3 linked regions of the Daphnia pulex genome follow. The protein of the gene in region 1 binds, or shares a complex with, the protein of each later gene. Links are inferred from orthologs where the notes say so. Each region holds a gene or a part of one and is shown on either strand. Other genes may lie near its edges.

What was found. The genes of interacting proteins can lie anywhere in the genome.
Region 2: nuclear pore complex protein Nup153-like (region 1) and nuclear pore complex protein Nup54-like share a complex: the UniProt entries of both Drosophila melanogaster proteins name them as parts of the nuclear pore complex. The link is inferred for Daphnia pulex from reciprocal best matches to the Drosophila melanogaster genes Nup153 and Nup54.
Region 3: nuclear pore complex protein Nup153-like (region 1) and nuclear pore complex protein Nup160-like share a complex: the UniProt entries of both Drosophila melanogaster proteins name them as parts of the nuclear pore complex. The link is inferred for Daphnia pulex from reciprocal best matches to the Drosophila melanogaster genes Nup153 and Nup160.

Annotation. Positions count from the first base shown.
Region 1 is NC_060021.1:253,110-256,861, reverse strand, and holds the start of nuclear pore complex protein Nup153-like, read left to right. Parts: upstream 1-1,620; 5' UTR 1,621-1,902; coding exon 1,903-1,974; intron 1,975-2,040; coding exon 2,041-2,284; intron 2,285-2,355; coding exon 2,356-2,451; intron 2,452-2,513; coding exon 2,514-2,801; intron 2,802-2,885; coding exon 2,886-3,031; intron 3,032-3,093; coding exon 3,094-3,445; intron 3,446-3,505; coding exon 3,506-3,752. Other genes in the region: double-stranded RNA-binding protein Staufen homolog, read left to right, coding at 42-515, 580-666, 727-825, 908-1,009. UniProt on the Drosophila melanogaster protein: Component of the nuclear pore complex (NPC), a complex required for the trafficking across the nuclear envelope. Functions as a scaffolding element in the nuclear phase of the NPC.
Region 2 is NC_060022.1:6,652,921-6,656,672, forward strand, and holds the start of nuclear pore complex protein Nup54-like, read right to left. Parts: upstream 2,520-3,752; 5' UTR 2,349-2,519; coding exon 2,291-2,348; intron 1,983-2,290; coding exon 1,551-1,982; intron 1,493-1,550; coding exon 1,220-1,492; intron 1,142-1,219; coding exon 991-1,141; intron 931-990; coding exon 498-930; intron 428-497; coding exon 164-427; intron 97-163; coding exon 1-96. UniProt on the Drosophila melanogaster protein: Component of the nuclear pore complex (NPC), a complex required for the trafficking across the nuclear envelope. Essential for the nuclear import of nuclear localization signal (NLS)-containing proteins in an importin alpha/importin beta-dependent manner.
Region 3 is NC_060017.1:6,360,067-6,363,818, forward strand, and holds the start of nuclear pore complex protein Nup160-like, read right to left. Parts: upstream 2,767-3,752; 5' UTR 2,644-2,766; coding exon 2,532-2,643; intron 2,427-2,531; coding exon 2,315-2,426; intron 2,243-2,314; coding exon 733-2,242; intron 675-732; coding exon 328-674; intron 269-327; coding exon 15-268; intron 1-14. Other genes in the region: glycogen debranching enzyme-like, read right to left, coding at 3,162-3,221, 3,294-3,716. UniProt on the Drosophila melanogaster protein: Functions as a component of the nuclear pore complex (NPC). Involved in poly(A)+ RNA transport. Required for nuclear import of Mad. May play a role in double strand break DNA repair. Essential for nephrocyte development.

The sequences.
Region 1 (3,752 bases):
AATAATTTCATTCTTGCTTATTTATACCGTGTGTTTAATAGGATGTTACATCTGCATCTAACGGTTGCCTTGGCACAAAACCTCAAGATCCAATATCTCAACTAGTTCAACTGCAGCAGGCGAGGAAAGAAAAGGAACCAGTATTTACTGTTTTGTCAGAAAGGGGAATCCCCCGTCAGTCCCCCGAATTTGTTGTAGAAGTTGCTGTTGGCTCGGTAACGGCAACAGGTGTTGGAACTAAAAAAAAAGACGCCAAACGCGCTGCTGCTCTCAAGGCGCTGGATGCTCTTGGTGATTCCAGCAAGTCATCTGCTTCTAGCGATACATCAGTTGCTGTTGAGACACTCTTACAGGATGCGCCACTCTCCAACAGCAATTGCACAGGTCGTCAAATGGTTCCGGGTCTTCTTTTATTAGGAGGCGGACAGAGTAGGAAAATTGACTCTCCATTCATAACCGATTCATCGAATGCCACTGGAATTAAAGAAACTACTCAATCGTCTCGTCCGCCCAAGGCATGTTTTTCTTATGCCTCTGCCAACACTTCTTAAAATCATATATTTATTACTTAATCTTTAGACTTCTGGAGGGTTGCGCCCGGAAATACGTCTAAGGTACTTGGCCCAAGTACTGGAATACGAGGTCGAGTTTTCCGATTTTCCAAAGGTAATAAACATTTTAAAAACTAATTTTAATTTACTGTTGGAATTAATGTAATATTATTAGGGCAAGAAAGGAGATTTCGTTAGCCTTGTGACCTTGAATACAAATCCTCCGCAAGTGTCGCACGGACTTGGTGCCACTTTGGAAGAAGCCCATGATAACGTAATCATAACTTGACTATATTTTGGCAATCAGCTTAAGTTAATTATTTAATTGATGTTCTTTTTGTTAATTCTTTGCACAGGCTGCTTCCAATATGATGAAATTGCTTTCTGAAGGGTCTCAAGATGACACCGTTGGTCCCAACAAAGAAAACGCAGATCAACGAAGCACAGGACCCCAATAATTTTGTTTTTCCTATAATGCCCTGTTTGATATGTTGAGATTTGAAATGAGATTGTCTCATATCTATTTAATTTAGTTTTTGTGTCATTTAACTTAATATTCAAGCACGCTATCACGATTTTTCTTTTGTTATTCATTTGTGGGTTTGCAGTCAAAACTATTTTTCTTTGTCTTTCACTCTTTTTTTCCCCCTTCTACATTGTACACGGTTCAGCTTTTTATTTCATTATTTTTCATTTAACGGTTATTTGTATTTATTTTCAAATAAAATCAGGAGCTTATCTCTTGCTGACTCTTTATCATGTGTGGAAGAAAAAAAAAGAATTTTGAAAATGAATAATCTGTACCGTTGACTAAAAGAACGAAAATCAGAAAAAAATGGGTGCAAGTTCTAAGATTATGCAATCATACTGATCATACTTTTACGTAATACTGCACTACTGCATTAAAGAACTTGCGTTTTTTTTTACATGGCGCAGCGTGATACCTATATTTGCAGCACACATTACTAGTGGCTGTTTTATGTAACAGCGCTAGCCAAAATGAAAATTAATTTCATGCATGGGGGGAGGGGGTTACCGCATGCGAATTAGGCAATTTCTTTTAGTTCGATCGGTTGATTCATCGAGAATGGTCGAGAAGGGTTCCGCTGGAGCCAAACTATAGCCCGTCACAAACGCCCTCTACTGATAAATTTATAAGTTCTTTGAGCAACATCGTTCTTCATTTGTTTCTCGTAACCGCCAATCAGATCTTTCTAAACTTAAAAAAAATCCGCCATCTTTTCTCGGCACTTTTTTCCTCGCCGCGTGTGGGTCGTGGTGCGACGGGTTAAAGCTGTTTTCTTGCAACAGTATCTGATTTCCGTATTGATTGATAATTTCTAAAACAGTCATGTGGGAAGATAATTTAGGTAAAGTCAAGGCAAGGCGGAGCAAAAATTCAAAACCATACGAAAGGCCCAAGGTAAGACTAAAATACGTTTGTGTGAGTTTGTGAAACCCCAACTATATCCGGCTTTTTGTCTATCAGTCGATTTTGAGGCGAGTAACAGATTCAGTTACTGGATTGTTACCACAACCTTCTTGGCTGGTGAATTGGTTACAATCTACATCAGCTAAAAAAGAAGATAGTGAAAATGATGAAGTTGAGGAAGAACAACCTGTGCCGTCAACCAGTTCATCCAGCAATGGTAACAGCTCCCACCGAGAAGGTGTTGAAAGAGAGTCCTTCATATTTCGCAGACCACCTGGGACATCCAAAGAACAAAGCAACAGTAAGTTTTTTTCATCAATGTTCTGCTCCCTTCAAACTGTGTAACACATGCTTCTTTTTTTGTTTGACTTGCAGTAAGAGCTCGTCCAAATGTCCCTTCTTTGGACTTACTTCCAGAGCCAGTAGTGGTTGAATCAAGTTCAAGAGAACAAATCGTTCAAACAAATGGTTTGTATTAAACACTGATTTTCAAACTTTTATGACATCTCACATCTCATTTCCTCTGACAGGTGATGATGACTCCAACTCAGAGTCAACTAGCGGATGTTCCTCATTGTTACCACATCTCGAGCATAAGAGGGAGAGCAGAAATATAGAACTATCAAGTTTGGGAGTTGCTGAACCTCTCTCTATTAATCAATCTTCACTGCAAATCATTGGAAGCTCTTTGAGCAAGTCCCTAGCAGTTGACCTAAAAAATAGCCGTGGACGCAAAACTCTCAGCCTTCATACTTTTGGTCATGATACAAGTTCAGGTATAACTCCCACAGAAGAATCAAGGTTCCACAAGGATACAGGTAGATTTCTAATGACATTTTCATCATTTTGTAGTCAAGAATTTTGCTTACAAATGAGTCTAATGTATTGTTTTTGATTTGTAGAAGAGGCTAGTGGCTCATTTTTCGACAAAGACGACACTTCACTCAATCGTTCAGCTGCCAAGCGAGACCTTTCCCAACCTCAACTTTCATCGTATGGAAGCAAGAGACCACGCTTCAATATAACTTCATTTGGACCTACGGCTGCTGTAAGTCTTGAATTTAATTTACTAACAAAGTCTGGACTCTATTCTTTTATTACTTCCAACAGGAGGCTAGGCGGTCTTTAATGAACGAGAGTGTTGTAGACTCACCATTTTATGCTGGTAAGACGACTTACGGTGGTGCTTCAGCTTATCGCCGTGCCACTTTACAACCTTCAGCTGCACTATTCCCATACGTGCGAAGTCGAATTCAGGCTAGGCCTGCGTCTTCAGCTCCATCCACTTCGAGTTCTGTTGCTTCTACCAGTTCGTCAAATGTTGTACTTAGTAGTTCAGCGCAACGAATCCTTCAAGCACTCGAAGCCATGTCAACACCAGTGAGAGATGCAAAAAGGATTCCTGCTGCATCCAACAGTAAACGATCCACTTCTTTACAAGGCGAAGAACTTTCGTTCACTGGTAAATTGATAAAAGTTATGAATTGCTTAACGTTATAATAATTTCGCTTTGTGTTTAAAGGGTTTGGTTTGAGTCGCCGACGTCCAAATTTGGGACCTCCAACTTCCAAATTATCTGTCGGTACTCCGGCACAGATTGTCACCCGACCAGCTCCAGCAAACTTGTCTCAAATAGAACCAGCACTAGTATCGAGCACCCCCATCAGTGCCCAGGTTGGTGGCAAGATGCGAATGAGGATGTCAGCACCACTTCGCAAATCGGCTCCTCGTATTCGAGAGGATGAAGATGTAGAGTCGGAGGAGCTCAC
Region 2 (3,752 bases), on another chromosome or scaffold:
ATTTGGTTCAATGTTGTACCTCTCAGTCATTCGTTCCGCTGGCGTAAAGGCAGATTGGCGCATTCTTATTTGCGAAAGCAATTCGTTTAAGCGACCCTGATGTTGACAGTGTAAAACATTATTCTATAAACTTAACATTTAATTAGAAAAATATATATGTTACTCGAAATTGCGTAGGGATGCTTAGTTCATTGTGCACAGACTCTAGCTGCACCCGCAAACGTTCCTCTTCTGGCTGTAGAGCAAAACCTTCTTTCCGAGAACATTCTTGCTTTATAAGAACTTTGAGGATTCGATGTTGCAAGTCGATGTATCGTCGTCGCTGTTCACTTAGCGCAACCGATGTTTCTGATGCACGAGATTGCAGGCTTGCTAATTCCTCAGCTAACTTGTCCAGGGTTCCTTGGTGTCGTCGAGTCTCTTTCTCCTGCAATGATTTATTTTTTTCAACTCAACTATTTGCGTAGTGTGAATAAGTTAAATATAGAAATGCGAACCTGTAGGTGTAAATGACGAACAAGGTCACCAAATCCGATCAGTGGTATGGGTATGAAGTTATCGTGATCAGGATTTTCTGATTGAGCTTGTTTCCAAATGCGAGCGTCAATCCCAGCTGGAGGCGATGCTAGATATTCGCGCAATTGTTCGGGTGATGGTCGGACTCTAGGAACACACGAAACGACTCCAAGTGCGCTGAGCTGACCACGAGCCGACTGCATCATCCCAGATGGTTGTTGATTCCAAAGGAAGTTAGACAATTCAATGGCAGGCACTTTATGAATTGCGCCAGTTGCTGAGCGTTCTTGAACACAAATCAAAACCTCTGTCTTATTTGTGTCTAGGCCAGACACGCCCTCGACGGACACATTCAGATTGGGTTTATTGCCCAGCGCCGTAGTTATCACACTGACTAACTGAGCTTGGTCTCGCCTGCAAATTGAATCCATAAATAAATCTATATGCAATTACGGTTTTTATAATTTTATCTACCGAATATCTGTTTCGGGTTTGTTAAACAGCAAAACAATTATTCCATCTTCATTCTTTCCTTGTGGTAGTTTGCTGTAGCCAATGGCTTTAAAGCGACACAATGAATTCTCTGCAGTATATTGGATAGCACTAGCCGTGCCAGAGTAAAATCCTAGACACCAATAACAATGTGAGTAAAATGAAGACATTCTAATATTTAAATTGAACCGCAATTAAGGTGGAGTCAAACCTTTTCCGGTTCCCCAAGCTGCTTGAAGGAGATTCCAACGAGCCAAGATTGCATCGCGCTCATCACCGTAAATGTTACAGTAAAGTACGGATGAGAGAACAGATTCGACAACAGTACCGGCTTGCTGAGCAGGAGCAAACGTTTGTTGTTGTTGTTGACCAAACAGGCCTGTTGTTGGGGCTGTACTTCCAAATGTAGTTCCCAAAGAAAAGCTACTAGAAGCTGGTGTTGTTATCCCGGTTCCTCCCAGAGATGTTCCAAAAGATCCAAATCCTAATACAGAAAAGTAGTCAAATAATTCGTTCCAAGTCATTCCATAAAAAAATATTACCTGTTCCAGAAAAAAGTCCGGACGACGATGAGACAGCAGGGGCTCCAGTGCCAAAACCGAATCCAGCGTTGCTTGTCTGTGGCTGCCCAAAGCTGAATGATGGAGCTCCACCAGTATTAGTTCCACCGAATCCGAAAGCAGGTGTAGTGGTATTTGTTTGTGTTGCACCAAATCCAAACGATGGAGCAGCTGTGCTAGTTTGGGTGGTACCAAATCCAAACGCTGGAGCACCTGAAGTAGGTTGGGTACTGCCAAAACCAAAAGAAGGTACTGTTGCAGTGGTGTTAGTTTGTTGAGAGCCAAATCCTGATGTTGAAGCAGAATTTTGAGGAGTTCCAAATGAAAAGGACTGATTTGCTGTGCTAACTTGCTGCACACCAAAGCCTCCAAATGGAGTAGTACCAGTCTGACCAGTACCTCCAAACAGCCCTCCTAGAAGTGAAAATGAGTCAAATGCATTGCAACACATAAGTTTAATTCTATAAAATTTTATTTGTTATCTCCTATTTCTATGATAAAATAATGAACAATTCTCAATCAGTGTTGTGCTTGAACAAAAATGATTGCAGCATTTGGTTGGACTAGAAAATGTAATCTCAAGAAAAACTAATAAACAGAAAATAAATGAAAAAGCCATGCATTGTAGCATGTTCAACAACGAAGGCAAAATGATTTCACTTAGATAATTATCATTCAAATATATAGTAATGCTGGAGTTGACACTAGTTTGTGTGTATTACCTGTGTTGGATGTAGTAGACTGGGCTGGTTGGAAAAGACTTCCACTAGAAAATGCCATTTCAAGAATAAGTTATCCTTACTTTCTTGTATAAATCTTATTTGGTATCTGTCTAATTGGTAAAAAAGTCGACAAGCCGATTTTCAATGATATCGTTAGCGTTCACGTTCAAAACTTGAAACTACATTTTTTCTGTGGAAGTAGCGAGAAGAAAGGAGGTATATGCCATCTAGCGGTTAACGATGAAGAACCAATCCTTTAACTTTGGCGGAAGACAGAAAAGCGAAAGTCCACCGCAAATATTTCTATTCCGTTCAACCGAAGAAATTTAAATCAACCTCGTCATTCCCGAAGGTCGTCCATTCTCTCCCCTTTTACACGCAAAAAATTAACACAAGAAATTGATCAGAAAACAAGTTTATTAATGATGATTTAACCAAGACAATTTGCATTACATTCCAATCAATTATTCCAATTTAAGAATGAGTGACGGTTGACAAACGAAATTAAACTGGACGGCAGGTCGTCGAATGGGATTCCATGACGGCTCACGACTTGGGCAGCTAAACATGTGAGGGGCCGCACTTTATGAATCAGTCTTTGAAGGGGGCCGTTCACATATGACGTCACGGGCCGAGGGGGGGGAGGGGGGTGCACCTTGTATGACGAATTGTGACGAGGGGGGGTAGGGGGGGTATTCACAGTGGGACGTCACAAGGCACTACACAAGCGCCACCAAGTGGGATATGTTGGCAACTTCCTAAATTTCTTTTAGTTTTTTGGATCGTTAGAGCAAAGCACCTCGTTTGCTTGACCAATTAAGAAAATAATGAACAACATTGTGTTCTGTATTAAAAACTACAGAAAATACAGAAAATAAAGAATTTTTAGGGGCTCAAACAATTTTTAAAAAGGGAGGGGGGTATCTGACTTTGTGACGTCATATTAGAGGGGGGGTATACCTACTGTGATGAATTGTGACAAAGGGGGGAGGGGGGGGGGTGTAAAATCGTCAAAAAGTCCGTGACGTCATATGTGAACGGCCCCAAGGTAAACATTTGAGATCCCGTTTTCAGCCAGTTCTTTTTCCTTTAGTTTAAAGAGGTCCAAAGGTGTTATGCCCACATCATCGGGCTGGTCGATATGAGCATCCGAGTCCAACAACTGTAACTGGATGGCGTCTATGGTGTTGATCGACCAGCGCTCCCATTCAATACTGGCCAGCACGTGAAGGGCCGTCATTCCGTTGGACGAGGTGGCACTTGGGTCGACTCCGAGTTCCAGTAACAATTTCATGACGTTTAGGGGAAAGAGTTTCGTTATAATTGTGTAGGAGCAGCAGGCAAGATGGAGGAGATTGCCCTTTTCGACTATTTTAAATCTGTAGTCGTCTCCAATGAAATTGTAGAGAGTCCGCTTGAATCGGTGAAGTTCTTGTTCATTCAGTGTTGGAAGGAGTTCAGT
Region 3 (3,752 bases), on another chromosome or scaffold:
GTTTTCAAACTTACCGTAAGACTCTTGAGATTTTTTGAATCCCAACAAAGCCATTGTGCGAATATTTTGTTCGGTGAGGGAATTGGAAACCGTTTGGGCCGGGAAGTGGCATAACCAAGATAAAGCATAGTAGGCGTGAGCCAGGGGGACGCTACGAGGGAGGAACTCTGAGCGAATGGTTTCGGCATCTTCGGGACGCAGCTGAAGCTTCTTCTGTGTTAATATAAGCAACTGCTGTACAATCAGTACATCTCGACACAATTCCAACCTGCGAAAGTAACATCATTTTAATTTAAAAAGGTAATGAAACATTTTCTGAATTACTACCTTAAATCAGCCATCTGTCGGGATGATTCGGCTAATGCTCCCAATCCAAGACTTCCATTGAAAAGCAAACGAAAGGAACTTTTATTATTGAAGGAAACTTCGCCAAATTTGGGATCGCCTCCATTCATGCCGACGCTGAGCTGTTGGAGAAGAACAGACAAGGCCAGGCAAATGTCAACAGAAGACAAAGCCATTTGGACAGCGTTGAGCAAATTAATTGATTCGTTCTCCAGCAGTTCATCAGCAATATCCCTGGCAATTTGATCTGCACTTTCCAACTGAAACATTGATTGATCAAAGCGCTTTATTTGCTCCGTTGACAAACTATCGCTGACCACAAACAGAATCTGTAAAAGAACAAAATTCGTCAAAATCTATGTACACAACAAATAAAAGAAATGTTACCTCGAGCAGAGCAGTAAGGCCAGAAGTTGATTGCTGACCCCCGAAAAGCGAAGCAATTCCACTCGAAAATGGCTGCATATCCCAGCGACGGCCTCGTTGCAAAACCAAACTCTCAACCAGATCCAACGGACGCAAAAATGAAACCATTCCTCGTTTAAGTAGAGCATGGAAGCCAGTTTCGTCATCAATGAGTAAACCAACAGGAATTGGCCGCTTCAAATGATACTGAACAGCATAGGCGTAGAATTGGGCCCAGTATTTGGCCGAAAGTTGCAGATAAAGTTCTTCTGTCACATCATCTGCATCGGAAATCTGCTCTTTCAGTTCAACCTCGATAGCCATAATGATGTCTTCTTTTATATCTCCAGGTCTCCTCCTACTTGTCGATGCCGAACGATCAAAAGCTTGCAGAGCCTTACTCAAGGTTGAAATCGAGAATACGCCCGGTTTGAAAAGTGCCTGCATGTACGCTTGTTTAGGGTCAACGACGGTATCGTCGTATTCAATTTCCGAATCGACGCCAGGTTCCAACGCAACCTGTTGCCACTCTAGCAGGGTCGTTTCGGCGAATTCCAACAGATATTCACCCCGCGAAGTGCTCCATAGTGCATAAAGGTGATTTGAAGTCAGGCTGAAGTCGATTAAACGACTATGTTGTGCAGTAACGGATGACTGGAAATTGAGCTTGAGTGTAGGGCCCGTCTGTAGATCAATGAGAAGAAAAGATCTATTCTTGCCAAAGGACGAGAAGACGACCAGTTTGAAGTCGACGCCGTCAGGACACCACCGGATTCTGTGAAGAGAGCCAAGCTGCTTGACTGATTTGTCTCCGAAGAATTCAACCAAATCGAACTCCAAACGACACTCCTGGGTTGCTGCTGACCAAATTCGCAATTTCAAGCCTTTGCTGACGGCCAGCACAAGAACGTCGTCATTTGTCGGCAATAAACAAATGCTTGCCGTAGTATCTTCGTTTTCCTGTGATGAGCTTCCTCTTAACACAGTAGGCAGGTAACCAGAAAGTAAACGTGATAAATTTGAGGAAGGCTGCAAATTATATGTGGTAACTGCCGAAGGAGATTGACCCATACGAATGAGAGAAATCGACGAAGTGTTTGCCAAAGCAAACAATGCTTCTTTACTTTTTCCAGAAAAGTAAGATGCAGCAGTGCTGGGGAGTGAAAAATTGGTGGCGGTGCTGTTGATGACCTGGTGGCTCAATGATTCCCTCAACCAGGGAAGGGATGCTTCAGTAAAGATGGATGGTACAGAAATGTTGGTCCCCATTGAGTTGAATGCTGTAGGATCATTGTGTTTTTTTGGATGTGGTAGAACCAAACGATGAACTGAAGATATGGTGGAGACGAGAATAACTACATTATTTTTTGTTTCATGAATGGATGTCCCCTCTAATAATGGAAGGCCTTGAAATCTGATTCGAAGACAGTTGCCGTGTAAGTTCAAGTCTAAACTGTGTTCTACTAGCTCCAGGACATCATTGGAAATTTGCCTGTTCAAAACAAATAATACAGAATGAGTCTTACTTACAGCAGCATTTAAATTATGTAAATGATAGCTGTACCAGCATATGAAACGGTTCCGAGTGACAGTTGAATTGGAATCAGTGAAACAGTATCCTCCTGCTGTGCAACCTTCAGGTAGTTTAATATCTTGGAGTGTCAAATGAGTTCCACCTGGTTAAAACAGAATACAGGTCAGTGTTTAAGAAAAGCGACACCGTTTCGGTTGAAAAAGAAAGAACTGTAGCCGGTGTAGCTCAACAAGTTCACTTGAATTACCCGTATTCAGTAATAGTTCCTTCCATTGTTCTATGCCTGTCTGATCTGGAATTACTTCACGCAATCCGAGAAGAGAAAAGCCAGAAAGATTTCCTTTAAGACAACTAGACATGTTTTTAACTCGTTTCTACAGTTGCAATCGCGCGGGCAGCTGAGAAACAAATTCGTTTCAGACGAATCTAAATTTCCAAACCGGCAAACGGCAGAACTACATTTACCGTTCAGCGCCACCTAGCGATTGAAAACCAAACTCGTTGGTACACTAATTTTATGACAAAATTTGAGTTGAGGCAAAAAGAACGAGTATATTCACTAGCAGGCATGACGCCGTGTATTGCTACAAATTACAACACTGCTTTTGGAAAGCGGCATAATAGAATTCTCCACCAAGTGAATAACAAACATAATTAAATCGACAAAAAATGTTTTTAAAATTGTGGAAGAACAACACATGCGCTGAAGTGGGAAAACGCTAATAATATAATGTACGGGTGCGGCTGAAGGTGGGAAACATAAGTTTAAACTACTCTCTTCTTCTTTTTCCCTAGTAATAGAACTGCGTATATTTCGAATTCTGAAAAGCAACTAAGGACCCCGGGGCAACAAAAGAATTCAATCACAATTCTAAGTTCACAATGCGGTGATGCTTAGTTTCTGTTTATGTTCGATATTGTCCAGTTCATGCAAAACCTGAAAAGTGACAAAATGACCAAGTTAGTACATTAAATTCAAAAATTGTAATATTTATTTTTTTTTCATCACCTCGAGAATGGTGGCCATAGACCAGGCTTGAGCTGGACTCGAATCATTACAGACTTTGCCATTTTTATTGGTAAGCTCGGGAAGTGAGCGCCAGGGCGATTGTTGAATTTCGACAAAGTGGCGCGATAAAATAGACTTGACTTTGCGGATGGTTTTTCTGAGTTCGGAGACTCCGCCGACCAATGGAGCGAAATAAAGCATGGCTTGGAGTAGGAAACCAACTGGCCAGAGCCACTCGGGTCCTTGGTGGTAGTTGAAACCGTGAGCCGTGCTGGGATCATCTCCTTCGTCCGAATTGCAATAATCTGGTCGGTAGGACCAATCAGAATTGTCCAAAGTTGCCATGCCCAATGGTCCTAACAAGTGCTGAAGAGCCATTTGTAATGCTTGCCATGCTCTCGATGGTGTAAACATGGTCGGAGCCTTTAAACGTAAACGTAATGAAACAGTTAATGTGAG